Neodiprion lecontei: one gene and its partner. The main gene of each other region encodes a partner of the protein of the gene in region 2 in a complex. Links are inferred from orthologs where the notes say so. Each region holds a gene or a part of one and is shown on either strand. Other genes may lie near its edges.

Region 1 (7,900 bases), on a different chromosome or scaffold from region 2:
GTGAAATTTAATCACCTTGACGAATCTTGGGGTTTTTGTCCTTCGCTAATTTGTTCGTCTTTAAAATATAATTACTATGCGCGTGTAAAATATTATATAAAATTGCTGTAATTTCGTTGTGTGATATCATTCGTTTTAATTCAATTTTTAACCATATTCTTCCTCCTTTTATGTTTGTTTTCGTTTAAATTTTGTATTTCTCTTTTACCACGTCAATTTGCGATGGATTTGACGACGTTCGGTCTTTATTGGTCGGGGGTGTTGTCGACAGCTGCTCTGTCACACATTCTACGAAGGAACGCTGCAATTGCGAAAGAAAACTGTATCAAAAACATCGAACATAAGCACCAAAATTACAATCACATTTAATAGCAGAGTTATAACATTATGCGATTTTTATCATTATATTCATTGAAGCTGAAACATCGTTATATTTGACTGTAGCGTGCAGTTAATTTAAATTTAGCTAAAGACAAAAAAAAAAAAATGTATTTGATCACCCAACAATTTCAGGCTATAATTGAGATCGGTTTATACTCTTGCGTAACGCTGAATAATTATAAAATTTATCGCGTATCCACGTATAGATGCTATGCTTGAATTGAAATATACTCAATCTGTACATGTATTAAATTCTGATATATTTTCGTTTCACAGCGATGCCAAGAAAAGCGTATACGTAAGCAGGAAGAGACGAAGTGAAAAAATAATGATACATTGGAGCTGATTCAAATGTAACAAACTCCAATTTGACGCAAAACATTTTTACGCAAGTAAAGCTACACAGCTAAGTATTGACATGTTTGATTATTGTAAACAAATATAGTAAACAGTAGCCGAATCGGCAGCGTTGTAACATAGAATAGAGAATGCACGTTCGCAAATTTTCGAAGGACCAAATTTTAGTTTCAGACATTGCTAAGCGAATAAAAATACAATTACACATTGCTTAGTTAAAAGAATATAAAATATACGTATTAAAAATAAAATAAGCATTGTAAATATTACGATGAAACAAACGACAGAATTGTTATTCACTGTGCTGCGAGAATCTTCCAGGCGACGGACTCTGGTGATATTAGCTATATACATATATACATACATACATATATATATATATATACAGAGAGAGAGAGAGAGAGAGAGAAAGGAAAATGCGTACATGTAAAGCTGTGTAAGAAGTAATACAAAAAAGGAAGACATGTAAGATAAAAATGTGAGGAAATCAGGACGGGGTTTACTCACGATTCATGGTTGGTGGTGGCTCCTTGATTTTAAACCATCAGCTTCTTCAGGAATGCTGAAAAATAACCACGAAGGGGAACATGAAACACAGGGATACCTACAGGATCTAATCAGGGTCGTTACATACTCGTCATTCTCATTATTGCAGCGAAGAATTCTACACTGAGAGAAATTTTTAGTTCCGGTTACCTCTCAGTCCTTAACTGTTTTCATTTTTTACCACAGTCGAAAAATATAGTTCTAGGTAGAAAATGAAAATTAATTTTTTAGCTGTTACCGGAAAGTCTATTATCCGTTACTATTTTTTCTCATTACGATCATTGTTGCTATATTATCTTGCAACTGTTGCGAAAATTTAATGCTCGTGCAACAATAAATTGACGTTAAAGCATTATTTAATTAAAAAAGTAGAGTAAACCGAAGAAACTGATTTTGCGTTGCAATAACCAAAAAAGGATCAACGATAGCGCAAAATGGTTACGCGGACCTCGTTTTTCGTAATTCCAACAATATTCAAACAGTTTTTGCAACGATACCTGTTTTACCGAATTTTTCTAGTTACCATAACAAATGAAATTTTTCTGTGTGTACGTTATTCCTCGTCAAATTCGTAAAGGGTCGTTTTAGGGGGGATACGGGGGTGTAAAAGAAAAAGCAAGTATTTACTCTCGCAAACATATCAGTTATCATCCAAACTGGATAATCCATTTTCAACTATGTATAATACGTCTAATTTACTCTAATCTGCGTACAAAATAGATTATTTTTTTCATCAAATTTTCACTTCAAATGTCTATCGCTGATATTTGTCATTTACAATCGGGGCGGTGGGTAATTGCTGTTCACGTGCTGGTGTTCTACGGTTCAATTCAAAGGTAGAGTAGGGTCTTTCAAAAATGTTGGATTCATTTTACTAAATTGTGAAACACGTAAGGGGATGTGGTGCTGTTCTTTCGAGATAACTTACGGGCGTAAGGGATGAAACCATCCTCATCTTCGGGGTCCATGCAGTCCCTGAGTACTTCCTCGGTTTCGGCATCGTTGAGACGTTCACCTGTGTTCGTAAATATATTTTGATAAATAACTTGATTTTCCCGGTAATTTGAAACGCAATAAAACTGTCGTCGAATTAAATTTTTAGTCGTGAGTACATCAGTTTTTAACCATCTTCAATATTTATGTATAAACTAGACGAAATATGTAAACTAGAAAATCTAGTACGTGTTACTATCCTTGTTCATTATCGTCACTTTCACCATATATTGTCAAGCAACGATGTCCAGGCCTAATTTAACCGAACAAATATGTATAGTAAACTAAGTAATCACACTCAAAGTTGCAATAACGCGAGAAATGTAGTGCTGCCTTGTTATAATTATATTGGGGCGGGGTTGAAGTTCCAAATTTGAAAAGATCCGAAAGTGCCTAATTCCAAATTATTTGGTGGCGAAACTTGAGGCGAAGAAATGCAAACTTTGAAGAAACAACAAAGTTTCAAATGGTCGGAAACCCGACGGCTCAAAGTTCCGAAGTGCCAGATTCCGAAAATTCAACTTAAGGCAGATGTAAGTTTCGAAAAGTAAAGTTCCGATAGCGAATATTTCGGAAAAACAAAGTTTCAAAACAAAGAGTAACATTCCGAAAATTAAAACATACCCACACAACGCAGTTTACTCAACGAGCGGGTGAAAGAAATCAGAAAGACCGTAAATGAAAATGACCAGGATTCCGAATGTAAAAATATCGAAGATCCAAAACAAAGAGAGATTAAATTGGTGAAATTTTACCAAGCCGGAAATTCACTTGACTGAAAATCTTCGATCATTCGGAATTTCGGTATGTCAGATTGTTAAATTTTCTCATTTTCGCACTTTCGGAACTTTAACTTGTCGGAGTTATACTCTTTCGGCATTTTGTCCTTTTGAAATTCTGCTCTTTCAGAACTTTGCACTTTCGGAATTTCGAGCGTCGGCTTTCGAACCATTCGAAACGTCGATGTTTCGTAAAAGCTTGATTTCTTTAGTTCAAGTTTCCTCACCAATAAATTCGGAATTTGGTGCTATCAGAACTTTTCAAATTCGGAATTTCCAACCCTCTCGATCACATTACACGGTTATTTGTACGAAATTTTCTTTCAATTGCAACAATATTGAAACTGTTATTTTAACGATACCCATTTCAATACGATTTTCTAGTTACTACAAAAATTAAGTTTTCATCGGTGCGTGAAAAATCTATGAACGCACCAAGGGTGAGGAGTATGTGGGAAAGCTCAGCGGCAAGCATGGTGCCGTTCTCAGCTTTGTCGTAGAGCTTGAGACACTCAAGGAAGTCCTCGTAGCAGCCCTGGTCCTTGTCCTTCTTGACCTGGCTGAAGATGGGCAGGAATTCGTCGAGCTTGAACAGCTTCTCTCCCTTCTTCTTGGTTCCTCCCATTTTCTCGATCGTTGCATTCGTCGGGTTGAGGTTCAGGGCACGGAGAACATTTCCCAGATCGACAGCGTCGATGGTATTTTCACCGGTGAAATCATAGATGGAGAATGCGAATTCCGCCCCTGAAATTATCCCACATTTTATTCAACCCTAAATGTTTATTATTGTCGCGTCTTTTTTTCAAACGCCCATATTCAAGATCGTTGCGGCTTATTTGAAACATTATTCACTTCCCATAAACTTAAAAAAAAAAAGAAAAGAAAACCGAAATATTCATAATTTTTAATAATTATAAGTCGGAAATGTTTTCTCACACGGACAATATTTGTGTAAAGAATTGCCAGAGTAGACTTTTTCTGTTTACAACTTCTTCATCATGCTGTTTTTGACGAAAGTTTCTCAAGTTTCTTCCTTTTTTGTTTGTCTCAGCTAAATGTATGAACTTTCTATTTCAAGTGTGCAAAATGTCGATGTTAGATGCACAAATGCAGATTCACCGTAATGACGGATTTATTAAAAAAATTCCTCTACCGTTAGAAAACTATCGAAGATCTATCTCAGGACGTCTATAAAAGTTCAACTCGTAATACAAAATCACCGCGACGCGGATCGTTTTATACAGATTCGTCTATCCGACAGGCCTGAGATTTTGAGAAAACGATAAAAATACATATTTTGTCTTATAACCGAGGGTCAGACACGCGAAACCTACGCATCGGACTATATTCACAAGTATTCAAAGCACCTCTGTAAAATTGTTATTTATAGAACTGAAACTGGGTGCCACGTAATATGGAACAGGCCCTGTGACCATTATCGCCCAAAACCGTTTCCAGCGTTTCCATAGCCGCTGCTCTTCCCCAAAAGTCTGCTTTCGTATACTCGGTTAATTATTTCGTTCCCGCATGCGCGTTTAATTTGGCGATAATTTTTAGGAAAAAAATATAGAAATCGAGGTCCAACGCTTGCGGAGAGCGTTCTATAAGTTATATTAATTCATTGGCAGAGCTCGTTCGAAAACATCGAATGCCTATGTTTAGACTCGAGTATCGGAACCTCGTGCGAACAGGAGCCTCCGCCTGGCTCAAGTTTCCCCCCGGCCATATAAGAACAGCACCCGAACTATTTTCGGCGTTCGTGTACACCACGCGTTCCCTAATTAGAACAGAATCCGGGCACCCCGATGTTCACCAATTATGTGTACCAACCATCTATTGCGTAATCTCTGTAGGTAGTGTATGAATTTTCAGCATTTTTCTCGCGATTAAATACATCAATTTGAAAATTTCAAACTAACCGAAATACCTCTTACATTTGTAATATAACGTCGCGATTTTTATTTGCAATTTTGATATTATTATTATTATTATTATTATTATTTCTAATTTTCGTGATTACAACTATTTTTATTTCAATCACGTTACGAAGAACCAATTTTATCAATCATTCGTTTATTTTGTTTATTGTTTTTTATTTTATTTTTTTCCATTTCACTTTAGAACTTTTCAATCACTTGGTCGACTTTTTAGATTTATTTTCCGGGTTAGGTGACGTTTCGATTATCGATCTCAGGTCGTTGTCAAATGATTTTTTACCTGTGTTATCGATGCAGGTTGGACATTGTAATCGCTAAACAATTTTAATACGTTTTTTAATCACTGTATGACACGATTCCCGCTGGTGATAGAAAACACTTTCCAGAATAGAGGGAGCGAAATTTGATTGGACCGTCGTCACTTCTTTTTCTCCTAACTTTGGTCTGATTTTACTCTTCCTTTTCTCTCTTTTTTTATGTCTTTCATATCATGTTTTGAAAAAAAGATCTAAGTGAAAGTGTGTGTATAATGTGTTTCGGTATGTACGTGCAGATGAATTTACTCACTTTCGACGTCCTTTGAGCTGAGATCAGCCTGTAAATAAAGAAAAAGTATTGGGTTTATAACCGAAGACCATTTTATGCGATTGCAATGAACTTATGACGAGTCACCTATTTTTTCCACAATTATCACCTCATGCAGAGTTCATTTCCGATGACAATGTACAACTTTGTTGTATCCGAAATTTGAATGCTCAAGTTAATTAATTTAATATTCGATATTCGGTATTATAGCGGGTAATTAAAATAATTTTGCATGCGGATGAGGATACGTCTTTCTTTGGGCGATAAAACGTTAGTTTAATATTCGTGACGAAATTATTATTCATTCGGTATTCAAATGCGAACGTTGTTATAAATCTGAGGCTTAAAACGGATCTCCTCATCAGAAGTCCTACTCACCATTGCTGTTTGGTATGTGTGACGGCTCCTGGATGTTCCCTGAACGAAGTTTGAACCAGAAGTGGGACCAGGAGGCACCGTGCGGATTCATTTTATTAATACAGATGGCGCTCCGACGGACCGACATATGAGAATCGTAAAGATCTCGCCTCAAAAACGTCTCTGTATCTAACTTTGGCAACGTGGCATTCCGAAAAGAGTTTACCGACTCAGAGCCGAAACTGTGTTACGCGTTACGATAAATGGTTTTTAACTATTGTATTTTAGTGTCAGGGTTGCCAGGTCCGTTCTCCTTCATGATTTTCAGCTCCCGGATTATCTCGACTCAAAATACTTGGAGCCCCCATCGAGCACTCCCGTACTTCAAATGAATATTACCCCTGACGGAATTTTCCGACTATGGCGAACGACTGTGCGATTAGACACTTGTAAATTATCGGAAAAAAATGCAGACATCCATTTCAAGTCTCGCCTTTCGATTTCATAATTGTATTGTTGACCATTGTTCAAGTAATTGAATATTACTACGTAATTCAGTTTCGGAATGACTCACTCTAGTGATTCGCATATTGCACGGAAGATTACGCAAGAGTCGGGATGCCGTAAAATAAAATTTCAGTTGAAGTATCAGGGCCACTGTGATAAGAATTAAAAACGGCAATTTTACCAGTAAAATTATAACGATTCTTCATTTTTGCAATTAGTGAACAAAAATATGTACACTTCCACAGAGTTTTTTCAAATATGATAGTAAGTCGGGGTTCAGTTTTCTCAGTCGAATATCTATAACCCATGAGATTACACTAAAGAAGTTCTATTAATATTTGTATAGTCAGACTATCGCTATTCCATTTCAGACAGTCTGTATTATATAATACAGTACAAAATGCGTGTATACGAGCGTACCGATGTATTGAAAAAATATAATAAGAATACCTGCGTGGTTCTATTGAAATGTTTTATTTTTACACAACATCGTACAATACACACTTTACTCTACGTGTATCAGATCATCCGTGTACAATTTGTGCCACAAATCACGCACTACGAAAAGTTTCACCGCTGTTACAGAAGCCGGTGAAACTTTAAATTGAGAAAATTTGTACCTGTTTTTCAAAGTTATGCCGCGATCTTCGCGAGTTTCACAAAAGTAACTCAACGTTCAACGTGTGCGTGGGTTTGGTCATCAAAGTATTTAGCAAAAAATTACTAGACAAATAATTGTATTCTTTAACAAAAAAAGAAACATCCACGCACGAATGATTAAGGCTTAGGAGTCTTTATCCCGTTTAAATCTTGAGAAAAACTTCCTCAATTTTTGTCCAAATGATTTTTTCTTCTTTAATTTTCCCTCGGAGCGTGCACGTTTATCTTGGAACTCGTCCTCACCATTTTCAGCAACGGAAACCGACTCGATGACGGAGGCTTCCGTTGTCTTTCCCTGGAGCGTGTGCTCGATAGCTGACGTCCTGGATTCGGTTCCAATAATTGTAGTTCTGCTGGTAAAAACTCTGTGGATCGGAGGCGTGGCAACAGCTGTAATCAACCCAGCTGTGCACCAGTAAGGTTCTTCTTCCGTGCAATTGTCCAAAAGATCCCTAGGCTGGGTGAAATTTTCCTCAGGCGAAATTGGCTCTTCTTGAATGAAAACATGCCGACCGTGAGACAAAGAAGCCTCAAGCTTCTCGTTTTGAGAATCGGTCGCCTCGCCGATCTCCAAGGAGTGTTGATCAAGCTGCTCTTCCTGGTCTTCTAAATGGAAACCGGAATCTCTGTCGTACCCTGGTCCATCGATTATTCGTATGAATTTTTCTTCCGATTCTTCCCACGTCGCTATGCCTTCCCTGTCTCCGTGAATAGGCGAACTTCCCTTAGCTCCGCCATTCTCTTCCAGCTCCTCGATCATCTTGTGCAAAAAGCTGGTTGATATTTTGACGGGGGTAT
Region 2 (5,104 bases):
TTTGTTGCACAGATCTCACTTACTTGTAAGCATGTTAACGTAGGCTCCGTCAGAGATGGCGAAAATGTGGGGTGGCACTTCGCTACGCCTCTTACCACGGTACAATTTGGCACAACGCTGAGTGTAGACCGGGTACCTCTTGTAAGGATTGATGGCCACACAGAACAGGCCAGAGTAGGTCTGCGTTTGGCGATAAGAAAAAAAAGAACGTAACAAACGTTAATGTGGGTATAAGCAAAAAATTCTCACAATCAATCATGGCGTGTATCGCTCAAGTTTATATACACGTTTCTTGCAATCTTTGGGTATGATAAGTTGCGTTTTCACGGTGTTATTGATTGGGAGTCTAAAGCATTTCGTATTTTTTCAAGTGATCGCGGTTGTCCCGTGGAAACGCATCTTACAGCGCGTCACCGAAAATTTCGGTGACGTGATTATGGGTTTATTAGTTGGGCATAAAACGAAATTCAGGTCTGGTCATAGAGAGGTGGTCAAGTCTGTTGATTCCACGACTCCCCGACGCCCTTGGACTCTATAAAATGTGAAAGACAAGAAATCGTCATGGGAAATACGGTACGGGCACGTCACTGTGCTTTCGACCGGATCCTCCCTCGGCTTTGGCCGCATGCTGCTGAAACGACTGGTAAGGATGTTAAAAGAACGGCGAGACACGTTCGGTGCTTTGGCCGGATCCTCGGTAACGAGCGATAAGAATGCAAAAGAGGGCAAGGTGAGGAAGCAAAGTGAAATGTGAATCATTCGGAAAACTTCGACAAGAGTGCCCGGTTCCACGGCTTGGATTCCTTACGTAGATCAGCTTGTGGTAGTAACGTTGCTTCAAGTTGTGCAGCACCGAAGCGTCGTTGAGGTATGTCAAGTTCGACATATCCTCGGCCTTCTCATACTTAGGTGGGTTAACCTGCTGCAGCTGGTCCTTCTTGAAGTCCTTAGTCTATATTCCATGGGGGGAGAAACGAAACTCCGTTAGTTGGTTCTCGAATCTTAACAACTTACGTATATCATTTTGTTGTAATATCGTTGTTTCAGGTTGTGAAGGACCGACGCCTCGTTCAGGAAGGTCAGGTCAGCCATGTCTTCGGACTTCTCGAATTTCGGAGGATTCACTTGGGCCACTTGCTCCTTGCGAAACTGTTTCGTCTGCGTGCGGTCAACGGTCGTTCTTTTATTATCAATGACATTGGAATGGTCAGGTAAGTCCTACCATTACTCCGTAAGGCTACGACGTTTCGCATCATTGAAAGATCAAGAAGATCCATAGGATAATACGCGTCGAGTTTCCAGCTCACGGCATGACTAATCTTATCCAAAGAGATCCCGAGGCATTCCGCGAACCTGGTAACGTCAATGTTGTAATTGGTCTTGAACATCTGCGAGTCGGTTTCGTTGATCGCGTGAATATTCGCGCGGTCATTGCGTAAGGCTATCCAGTGTCGCGGGGGTCTAAAAATACCCGGCCAGCACATTACGGCAATGCTGCAAGAAAGAGAGAGAGAGAGAGCGAGAAAGAGAGAGAGAGAGAGAGAGAGAGAGAGAGAGAGAGAGAGAGAGAGAGAGAGAGAGAGAGAGAGAGAGAGTGAGAGAGAAGGAGAGAAACGGAGCCGATCGAGGGGCTCATTTATAGTTCTCGTGCAAGTGAGTAGTAAAAGCCGCCGGTTGAGTCAGCCCTCCTCCCCTGTTAACGATCATCTCGTCATCCCGTTCCTCTCGTCCGGGTTTCTCGCTCTCCCCTAGTCTTCGGGCTAACAATAGCGCGGAGCATCGGAACGTAGGGTTTGCTGAACCATATATTGCGTAACCCATATATCTACTTTCACGTAAGGAATTTAGGATGTTGCTATAAATAAAAAACTGTGTGTTTTCAACGGCGTTCGTCGAAGATTCAAAGAATCGGAACGGATCGACGCGGACCACCGAGGCCACCGTTGTCCCTAGTTTACCGGAAGCTCTGATTATCCTCCTACCTAAGATCTATAAGCATCGTAAACATCTTTTCGTCGGTCCGTCGATCGTCGCATTCAGCTGTGGCGCAATGGTTTCGGTCTACTCGGCAACCGATTTATATAAACGCGTAAGCAAATACGAGTGCCCTGCGTATGGCCGTTGGCCAGGGCAGAGCTTCGTTAGTCCCGCGGGCTATTCTGTTCTTGAAATAGAGCTCGAGGAGCCCGATACGGCGACGCCGACGCCTAGCGTCCCTCACTGCCTTCTGCTTTTTATATATAGCGTATGACCCACACCCCCCTCCCCCCCTCCCCCCTGCCGCCGACGTCCTCCCTCAATACAAGAAAGCGGATATAGACGTTCGGAGCTTGCGTAGGGGGTGCGAAAAATGACACCCCGAATCGACGGTTACGGAACGCGGCAGCCATTGCGTGTTTCGATAACAGTTGAACCGCGTATGGCTTATTAATAGCGTAAGGCTACGTACTACGGATTTTGTTACCGGCTGTCCGGACTGCCGTTTTAGGCGAGGTAAACGGGGAAAAACAATGCGCTTTCAATGAGACAAAAACAAAAAAAAAAGAAAACATAAACTTTCTTCCAAGTACGACGGCACGCGGAGTTTCGAACGCGTTTGAGTATTCGAACGACTTTTTACTTCCTTCTTGACGCGTGTGGAAGGGAAACGGGATTCGGGGATAGGTGTTGTTTCGATTATCTGATTACACACCTCGCCGCCAGGCAGAGATACGGAAACGACGTCGCCCTTGGTGGCCTTGATCTCTCCCAGGACGTATCCCTCCTTTTCGCAGGGTACCCAGCATGCCTTCTTCGCGTCGTAGGGCTTCGTCTGGTCGATTCTCTTCTGCTCGAGGGACACGAAGAGGTATGGGGTTGGGTCGGGGTCCTCCCCCTCCTGCTTTATTGGCTTCGGCATCTTGTTTTCCTCTTTTTTTTTTTATTCGCTGTTACAGATGTCCCTTAATTAATTTGGGGCGTTTTTGTTTTTCTACTTTTTCACTAAGCAGTCGTCAGTTTCGTGCGTGTTTGGCGAGCGGCGGCGGACGGACTACTTCTTGCGGCACGGTCTGGTCGGCCCTGCGAGATCACACGTAACATGCTTACATATCCTGTACAACTTCCATGATTAGGTACGATATATGCTACAGGGTACGTGTTAACGGATAAAGTGTATTCGGGGGTGTGAAACAGTGTGCGTCTGTTTTTCTTGAGGAAGTATTTTTGGATTGAACTGGCATTCGGTGCCATCATACTCGTATCAGCTATGTTTTATCGCGCGAGTTTTTGGGTTTCAAAAAATATATAAAAAACAATCGAGTACGTATGAAAAGCACGGGTGTTATAATTAAATTTCGAGCGTTTAATTTTGCATCAACTCGTTTGACCGGTTTGGAATGCTGTCCTGTACTCCCTTGGAGCAATTCCAACCACCAATTCGAAGCAGACCCCTTTTCACCGCGTCTTTTAAACTTCCGCGTTACATTTCTCAATTCGAGCGCGATACATCCAGTCATATTGATGATCAAAAAACGAAAGATCAATTCGATTAATCTTCAAAAATTGACCCGTGACCATTGGTATTTAATCAAATCACCAAGCCGAGCTTCGTAAAATGAATTTCGAGTTGATAGGTGATAATCATAGAGCGATAAGTCAAGTTCCGAAGAATAGTTCCCCGGCCCGTAGGCTTCGCTGACGTAAGTTCTTCGGTTCCATAATACGACGTGCAATTCCGTTCCGAGGTTTTAAATAACACAATCGGCACATGCGCACACTCATTTATACTGCATAGGCAACAAGATACTCGGAGAAATGTTTCCCCTCGGGATATATAATATGACAAGGGTTTGAAATGGGATGCTTTCAGGGGTTAATCTGGATATCGTTAAGCTCCTCGTCCTCTTCGACTTAGGACCCGTTTATCTCAATTCACACACTCACACACGCATACACACACACACACACACACACACACACACACACACACACACACACACACACACACACACACACACACACACACACACACACACACACACACACACGCACAGAGTAGACTTGTACTCGCATGTATACGAAAAATGGCCGCGCACACACACACACTTCGTTTTTTTTATGGTATTTTTTATTTCCAATATTGCCATTATCCAAATTCGGGAATTTGATTTTGTCAGCTTCGATTCCCGAGTACCCCGAGCACAACATACGACAACTTTTAATTCACCGAAGTTGAAGATTGATTTTTACTGCTTGATCAAGTTGGTTAATATTCTCTTTCCTGCGTTTTTTTTATTTAAGAACCGAAATTTTACTCGGAAATTCTCGCCTGGGTTAATTTTTATATACTCGAAACAATCGACGAACAGCCGTAGAGTCCTTATCAAATCGTTGATATTTCGTTACGCACGTACAATATCCCTTTTATCGTACGACGATGTCACTCTCACTGTATTAATTTTCATGTACTCCTCCAGCCGTATTCAATTATTTATTTTCATGATTAACTTATTTATTTTCCTTGATCGTTTTTACTTCAATTTCGAACGAGGCCGAATATATATTCGTATTCTTGTATACGCGTACGTGTGGTGATGTGCTTACGCGTGTGTGTATAAAAAAAAATATTTCCAGCAAATTTTTATCTTTTATTATTATAATAGTATCAATTATTATTATTATTATTATTATTATTATTGTTGTTGTTGTAGTTTAATTTTTTTTTTCTCTCTCTTCAATCAAGTACGCGTCGGCGATTATTCTTTTTTATTTATATTATTTATTTATTTATTTTTTTTTTTTTTTTATAAATTTTTTCTATTCCTCAATTTTAGCGTGTATGTGTGGGTGAAATGGCAGAGTAACCGACGTGGTGCACTTACGTTAGAGAGCCGTTCTGTCGGGGGAAACTGTCGAACATCCCAATATAAGCGCGTGCAACGTGATCCTGGCTTGGTACGAAGCTGACGATTGGACGGTCGAGCTAACCAATCGGAGCCTACGTTAGTTCCTGGTCCAATCTACCTTTTTAGGCGGAGATGATACCAAAAGTGAGACAGGGGTACGGCGGAAAGCTCCGAGGAGGCGAACGCGCGCGCGCGCGCTTACTTAAAGTGAGATGAAA

The links.
Region 1: the proteins of myosin heavy chain, muscle (region 2) and myosin light chain 1 are in contact, whole or in part, in a crystal structure (PDB 5W1A), measured with the Drosophila melanogaster proteins. The link is inferred for Neodiprion lecontei from reciprocal best matches to the Drosophila melanogaster genes Mhc and Mlc1. Residues at the interface, in NP_723999.1 of Drosophila melanogaster: Arg25, Ile26, Ser29, Asp718, Lys720, Met721, Arg722, Gln724, Ile725, Pro728, Arg776, Leu780, Gly781, Ile783, Met784, Ser785, Trp786, Met787, Gln788, Ala789, Trp790, Ala791, Arg792, Gly793, Tyr794, Leu795, Ser796, Arg797, Lys798, Phe800; in NP_001287569.1 of Drosophila melanogaster: Phe14, Val15, Val18, Met19, Asp33, Arg36, Ala37, Asn39, Leu40, Asn41, Pro42, Thr43, Leu44, Glu78, Gln79, Gly80, Cys81, Asp84, Phe85, Glu87, Cys88, Leu89, Lys90, Leu91, Tyr92, Asp93, Lys94, Glu96, Ala103, Glu104.

What each region holds. Positions count from the first base shown.
Region 1 is NC_060260.1:11,421,243-11,429,142, reverse strand, and holds the start of myosin light chain 1, read right to left. Parts: upstream 6,082-7,900; 5' UTR 5,960-6,081; coding exon 5,957-5,959; intron 5,589-5,956; coding exon 5,561-5,588; intron 3,801-5,560; coding exon 3,492-3,800; intron 2,300-3,491; coding exon 2,213-2,299; intron 1,301-2,212; coding exon of another isoform or gene 1,275-1,300; exon of another isoform or gene 1,246-1,274; intron 690-1,245; exon of another isoform or gene 658-689; intron 302-657; coding exon 246-301; 3' UTR 1-245.
Region 2 is NC_060264.1:2,629,540-2,634,643, reverse strand, and holds the start of myosin heavy chain, muscle, read right to left. Parts: upstream 3,086-5,104; 5' UTR 2,900-3,085; coding exon 2,693-2,899; intron 1,159-2,692; coding exon 1,015-1,158; intron 953-1,014; coding exon of another isoform or gene 809-952; intron 181-808; coding exon 24-180; intron 1-23. UniProt on the Drosophila melanogaster protein: Muscle contraction.